Linked DNA regions of Coturnix japonica. The main gene of each other region encodes a partner of the protein of the gene in region 2 in a complex. Links are inferred from orthologs where the notes say so. Each region holds a gene or a part of one and is shown on either strand. Other genes may lie near its edges.

Region 1 (3,500 bases), on a different chromosome or scaffold from region 2:
AGAATGCCAGATGTATAACCTTGTACAAGGCCAATAGCTGTACACTGGATCACAGCCAGAGAGAGCTGAAGAACAAGTTTTAGAGGAGGAACATTATGTATTCCAGTCTTATATCACTTCAGATGGCACTGCATAAATGTCATGGCAAAAATCCACTAAGCTTTGGCCTGTAACACAGTATCCTCTCTACATTCAGCACAGTAATAAAAAAAAGTCCCAGAAATCTGGGCTCACATCCCAAATCTCCTTAGTTGTAGAAAATTGCTTGAGACTTTGTGCTTAGAAGTTGTCCTTCTGTGTTGTTCTTATGTCAGGTTGGTGCATATAATGCACTAGCTGTTGTAATGCTACAGAACAGGCGTAGTGAATTCCTTTTCATAATCCTAAGCCAGGTAACTTTCCCAATATCCAACTGTAATGAGCTCTTTCATATCTCATTCATTTTCAGACGGAAAAAAATTAAGTGCATCAGTGCTGCAAACATTCAAACTCTGCTGAGTAAAATTATCAAAACCATCTGCATGACTTATATTGAAAGCTAGATATGAAAGACTGCTTAGGCATGCATAAATTATGCATTTGTCATCATTGATACGTAAGAACGTACAAAACACGGACAAATAGGAAAAACTTCAAAACCTATGAAAAATGGAAAGTGAAACTGAATTATTTAATGGTTCCTCTTCAATCTTAAGCTCTCGGAATCCAACAAGGTTTCTTAAATGAGAAAAGAGATGGAGTTTTGGGCAGGAACTGTTTTTTTCTTATGTTCACTGTATATTTATATTAACAACTACTAAGGTATATTTTAAACATCTTTCTGATTGTTGGGACATCTGAATTAAAATTCAAAGTACCTTAATGTAAGAGCAATCCAATGTGATATGGCAATGTTTCCGCTAACCCATTAGGGAATTCAAAGCTCTTACATGTTAAGTTGTGTTGTATGCATTTGAAGATCTACTAGATGGGAGTAAAATCCCGAGCTGGTGAAAGGTTTGGCAAAATACTGTGTGTAAAAAATAAATAAATAAATAAATGAAAAGACAGCTGTAGTTGCATGGCAACAAGAGTTTGCCATGAAGAAAATGTAATGCTATCAGTACTAACAGAAAATTTCCCATGTTACTGGACTCATGAGTTCCCATTAGCCCCTTCTCTCATACCAATCCCCTCCTTACAGATAAAGGAGGACACAGACTGGCCGTATGGCATCCCGCAGAGATTTGGGGAAGATTTTGTCCATCCAAAGCACTGGGACAACTTTCTCCCTTTGGGTGAAGAGAATTAAACATTTGTGGATTATGCACGTGTAGGCAAGAACTGTAAATGATACTGAGTCAACAGGACAGTTTCTGATACATGCACTGGCATATGGAAAAGATGTGCGTGTTGTACCAGAATTTGGATATTCAGGCAAAACTTTTTCTTGATTAAGAGGCAGCTGGAGTGAAAATACTCACTGGCATTAATTTGTATAGACATTTAATTTTAACTACATTTATCCACAATGAAGAATTATTAAAAACAAACAAACAAACAGAAGCATACAGTCCTGCATTCTTTGCTTATTGCTTCACTGACTATACTTTATCTAATAGAAACCTCCCATATTTATCATAATCCCTCACATATATTTTGCATTTCTAAAGCTGTACTAAGCAGTTGGGACTGATTACAAAAGCAAAAAGAGCACTTCTCAGTGATTTATTTTTTTTTTTTTTTAAATCTGCATTACATTTACTATAAGGAGCAAATGAAATTCACATTTACTTTTAGACACTGTATTTTACTGAATTCTAAACAGCTTCCTCTAACTAGAAAGTGTTCCCAAAGTAACTTTATTATCTGAGTCACCAGTTGAAGCAGCAATATGATGCTTTATGTAGTTCCTTCAGTAGTATATATTTATATTCAGATAAAGAAAATGTAAAACTGAAATAACTCATTTAGACCATTTACTTTCTTGGGAAAATGATACAAAGGATCACCACATACATGGAATAAAATTTTGCTTCACCTTTGGAAGATCTATTAGTAATATCTGATACTAGAAAATGTATCTTTGCAGCTACGTGGACACATCTACAATTATTCTACCAGTGATATGGTCTTGAGTGCACTTTTGGGGTAAAAAAGGAGTATAGGAGGTGCTCTCCTTTTAAAAACCATTAACATTTTTACCATTTTAACAAGCCAAAAACTGACAATCTATTTTAGTGAAAATAAAGGAAAATACTAAATAAATAAGCAAAATTAGGCTCATTGTACAAGGAATCAGGGCTAGAAGCCAGATCTGATGCTATTAATAACACATATGTAATAGTTTACAACATAATAAAATCAGAAACAACCTTTTCTATTATAATTTCTGAGACAAAATTAAAAAGTATTGCTAATATCTTCTAGCATTCATGACTTTCTTTCTCTCACATCTAACTGCCATTCTAGTGTTAGAGAAAAACATGTTGCCTAGCACTTAGTCATTTAGACAGCTGATGCAAGTCTTAAAAACATGACAAAATATATTTCAACTATTTCTGAAATTCCCTGCTACATCAATGGCTTTGTGTTTACCCTTAATTTAAACTTAGTATTTTGGCAGCATTTACTTGCCTTCTCATTAGTGATGTATCAAATGATTTTTCTCCAATCTCTGTACAAAACTACCTGTTTATGTCAGCATGATGGTTTTCATTAATTTTAACAGCAGTGCTAGAGTAACATTAAAGTTAAGTGCAAAAATGCACTTGTAATAATAGCATTTCAAGAGGCACAATGTAGAACTTGCTAAAGAAAAGAAAACAAGCATCTTGTTACTTTCAGGTGAAGGCATTTTACTTCTGTCATTTTTGCTTTGTGCTCCCCTCCCCACCCAGATAACACGAAGTCACAAGGTCATACTACCTGTCATGGCCTGCTGGTCATCCACCATTAACTTTAAACTTTTTCCTCGCCGAACCACACGCACTGTGTGCCACTCATTATCATTGAGGTTATAGCCAGCAAAAAGGGTTTCTGGACCTTTGCCTGTAGGATATGCCAAACAGTCATTATGCAATCTCTAAATCATTTTACACGTGAACCTCACAGAGAGAGAGAAAGAGAGACTGGCTGGGCAAATGTTAAAACTCACCAAAAGTCGTATTAAGCAAGAAAATTAACAAGTATAAGCAATTCTCAAAATATAGAGCTACTATGTTAAAACATTTCTACTCTCAATTTAACTATATAAATGTATTACACACACACAATGATCAGGTTGTCATAAATAGGCACAGTCAACATGGGTTTAGTTAAGCATTTTACAGTCATGAGCAACCCTTTAAGAAAGAGGATTACTGCAGACAGAATGAAAATTTAAGCATAGGTTTAAAACACTGCATTTCTATTCCTTCATTAAAAGTAGCTTGGGGAAAAGGTGTAAGCAGCTAATGTGCATGTGTCAAGATTTTCTTCATCTACACTGGCTCCTCAGCCTACACTTATTCATTGGATGT
Region 2 (3,992 bases):
GATTTCTCTTACAAAGTCAGGCAAAATATTCAGTTGTTTTACGGTCCAAAATCTCTTTCCCACACCCTTTCTGGAAATACCATTTACTACTTTAAATGACAGCGATAACTACCCATTTAGGAAGGATAAATCACACGCTTTAATATTTCATGGACCTAAACACAAGTCAGGGGCCGGATGTGCTATTTGCAAGAAGCAGATTACTCAATCAATCAATAATAAATCACGGGAAGGTGCAGACGTTTAGTTGGTGTTTCACTGATAGATGTTTAGCCAGATGCATACGTAGCAACTCAAGGCAGATTTTACATGAGGCTTTCCCCATGTTGCCTAAAGAAGAGCGGGGTGCTATCAAAAATGTGAAAGCTAATTAAAGACGCTGCATCCCCGATTGCTCAGAAGTCACCTGAGTAGCACTGCAATGAAACAGGAACACTGCTCATACAACTGTACAAATACAACTGTGCCTATTAGAGGAGGGACACAACATCCATACGCAAACCCCTTCCTACCACCACTGCTAGCTTCAGTAATCCACCCTGTTCTGTTACAGTGCTCTTGGCAGCGCCGTGCTCCTACAATCCAACACTTATCTGTTAGATCAGGTTACATCACAACACATCCAGAATAATTCAATCTCAGGTATCAGCCAAAGAAGCTTCACAATTCACAGGTTCTGAACCTTGAATCCCTTTGATATTCTCAGATCACAACATCGAAAGTCAGTGGAGCCGCATCAACATCTGGATGGCTGCGAATGAGCCATTCTCTATAAGCTCACATAGTCCTGTCAAGCAGAAGCACTTCACTTTCCTTCCAATGGCAGCCAGCTCTGAGGAAGCAGTGCGTGAACTGCAGTGGTCAGCTTAAAACCACTCATGAAAGGAGCATGCCAAAAACCATCTTCAAACCACATATAATCACTGTTTTGTTTCTCGGCTACATAAGCTCCCCACGAACAACTGGCGAAAGCCCTTTCAGCTTATGACAGCAAGCAAGGCCCTCTAAGCTTCCTATTTTTAAAAGTTGTTTGTGGCCAGGGCAAGGTGGTAATAACCGTGTGAAACGACAGAGCAGAGTGCTGAAACTTCAGCTGCCAACAAAGTAACCTGCTAAGTCCAAGACGAGCATTTTAGTATAATCCTCAGGAAAGATTAATTCCAGAATATTTTTAGCCTGAGCTCTCAAAGCAGGCAGCAGCAGATAGAAACTGTGAAGCACGCTGGAGGGGAGCGGGAGGGAGAATACATGCAGAAGAACTCTTTGTTTATAATCAAAACACGGGGAATGCCGCTCTGATTGAATTCATCCTCAGGAAGAAAGAGCTGCAGGCACCCAGAGCAGCGGCTCCCACAGCAATCTCAGCTGCTCAGTCAGACACGCAGACAATTAGAAGCAGCAACACCGCTACATCTTTCACTCAACCCAAGCACAACTATAGGAGGCGTGTGGAACGCAACGAAATAAAACAAAAATAGGATTTAGAAACTGGCTGGTCACGAAAATACAGAGAGTTGGGCTCCCGTTCGGTGCCATCTGATTTGGGGGATGCTCTGCGTTTTCTTGGTGTGGTAACGCACGGAGCTGTCATCTCCACGCAGCCCACAGGAGCGTGGCCCAAAACGGGCAGCCAGAAAACGCCGGCGACCTCCGAGGTTTGACACGAACACGCATTAACAGTTGCATAAGGAGACAGGAGAGGCCAAGTTCTCCCCCTGCCTCACACGCCGCCGGGGAGCGGAGCGAAGGCAGATCCGCGCGAGCACGGGGTGCCAGGGGCACCGCCGGCAGCACGCCGCTCATTGTGCGCCAAGGCGCGGGGAGAGCCGACACCTGGCGCGGCCACCCGAGCGATAGGTGGATCCACAGCGATCCTTCTTCAAGCAGGCAACCACCGATGGGTGTGCCGGGGATGGGGAGGAGAACGGGAGGGCTGGGCAGCGCCAGGCTGCGCGGCGGCCGGCCGGGCGGGGATCATGGTGGCTGAGGAAGCACCGGGGCGCCTTCCTTTCCCCCCACCCCCCTTCCCCCCAACCTCAGGGCGGTGGGCAGCGCCGGGGCTGCCCGCACCGCGACTCAGGTGGGTGCCGGGCACGCCATCCCCGCGCTGGGTGTGTGTGTGTGTGGGGGGGGGGGGCTCCGCTCTCCCCCATCCCCTCTCCTTTTTCTTTCTTTCTCCCCCCCCTCCCCCTCCCCGCGGGACTCACTTGCCGATCACCTCGCACAGCTCGTACACGTCCTCGAACAGCACGTCGTCGTCGGCCATGGTCCGCCCGTCAGGCGGCGGCCCCGGGTGCGGGGGGAGGAGGAGGAGGAGGAGGAGGAGGAGGAGAAGGAAGCGGGGGGGGCCGCGGGCACACGCTCCCCGCCGCGCGGCGCGCTCCCCCGCCGCTCAGCGCCAACAGCCGCAACCTTCGGCCGCAGGGGCTCTCAGCTCCTCGGGCCGCCGCGCGTGTCACGCACCCCGCGACCCCACCTTCCTCCTCTTCCTCCCCCCACCCTCCTCCCTCCCCCGGTTACTCCCCGGCGGCAGCGGCGGGCGGGCGGCTGTGGCTCAGCGGGGCGGCGCGAGCTCCATGGAGGGGATAGGCGGCGGTGGCGGGCGGCAGCGCCGGCTCGATCCCTCCCTCGCCGAGCGGGCGCGCTCCCGAGGCACCGGGGAGGAGATGGAGGGGGGGGGAGGGTGGCTACGGGAGCGCGCACCGTGCGGGAGGATAATAGTAGGAGGGGGAGGGGCGGGGAGGCGGCCGTCGGTTCCGCTCCCAGCCGCGAGGAGAAGAGGCGGCGGCGGCCGCGATAGGCGCTGGCAGCGCGGGGAGGGAGGGAGGGAAGGAGGGACGGAGGGACGGAGAGAGGGCGGGGGCGCGCGCGCGCTCCCCGCCGCCGTCACGCAAAGGCACGCACAGGGGTCGGTCGGCGCGGCGTGCGCAGGCGCGCACTGCCATGACGTCATGGCGCCGGGAGGGGGCTCCGCGGGGCGGCTGTCAGTGAGCGCGGTGGGGAGGGTTGAGCCGGCTGTAGGTGTGGGGAGGGGTGCTCCTCAGTCGGCTGCACCCTGCAGCCCTGCCTGCCCTAACAGCTCCTCTGCCCGAGCTCTGCGCCTTTGTCCGGGGACGGGTAGAGCGGATTTTGTCCTAGCTTTGAGGGGCTGTTGGCGTTTGGGGCTGTTTGGGGGTTGGAACTACATGAGGTCCCTTCCAACCCGGGTCATTCTGTGATTCTGTTTTCCTGAGCTCTGAGTTAGAAGCCTTGCAGAAGAGCGTTGTGTTCAGGTGTAGGGAGCCTGCTTTGGCAGCGGGGTTGGACTCGATGATCTCTAGAGGTTCCTTCCAACCCCTACGATTCTGTGATTCTGTGCCTGAATTAGTTGGGAGCTGTTGCAGTTTCCAAAGCGTGTAGGTTTCTGCAAAGGTCGTGTCTCCTATTTGTCTGCATGGAAACCACTACAGATAGAAGGAGCACAATGGCACTACTTGTTACTAGAGTAAATTCTCAGCTATGAAACACTGTTTTTTCAATGCTCAGCACCACTAGCTATGCATTTTCTACAGCCATGAACATGAGCCTGCATGTCATGCTCCTAACAATCCACACCAGCAGAGGTGACCCACTGCCACTGTCACCACTGCTGAAAGGCACCACCCACCGCCCCACTGTGCTCACATCCACTGCTTGGTCTCCATCAACATTCAGCATCAATGAATGTCAGTGGGTGCCATTTTTTTTCAGCCTGGAAGAATTCAGTGACACACCTTTGTATGCGCTTCCACATCAGATGCCACTGTGTCACAGTGCCCCTCTGCTGCCATCTGTCATATGGCTACAAAACGGAGCAGAATTTCAGTGGGAAGGTTTGACATCTTCTGCCATACCACCAACATCTGCTTCTGATGTTTTGGGCCAACATAATCAAGTAGGAGGCATTACTTTCGGAGCAGCCCTCATTTCTGCTGTACTAGTTTCGCACACATGCAGCTTCTTAAAACTCATTT

Evidence for each region.
Region 1: the proteins of CASK (region 2) and NRXN1 are in contact, whole or in part, in a crystal structure (PDB 6NID), measured with the Homo sapiens proteins. The link is inferred for Coturnix japonica from reciprocal best matches to the Homo sapiens genes CASK and NRXN1. Residues at the interface, in NP_001354650.1 of Homo sapiens: Pro500, Met501, Gly502, Ile503, Thr504, Leu505, Lys506, Ala516, Arg517, Val549, Gln553, Leu556; in NP_001317021.1 of Homo sapiens: Lys468, Glu469, Tyr470, Tyr471, Val472.

What each region holds. Positions count from the first base shown.
Region 1 is NC_029518.1:8,514,728-8,518,227, reverse strand, and holds part of NRXN1 (neurexin-1), read right to left. Parts: intron 3,031-3,500; coding exon 2,908-3,030; intron 1-2,907.
Region 2 is NC_029516.1:100,754,559-100,758,550, reverse strand, and holds the start of CASK (peripheral plasma membrane protein CASK), read right to left. Parts: upstream 2,801-3,992; 5' UTR 2,267-2,800; coding exon 2,208-2,266; intron 2,081-2,207; exon of another isoform or gene 1,932-2,080; intron 1-1,931. UniProt on the Homo sapiens protein: Multidomain scaffolding Mg(2+)-independent protein kinase that catalyzes the phosphotransfer from ATP to proteins such as NRXN1, and plays a role in synaptic transmembrane protein anchoring and ion channel trafficking.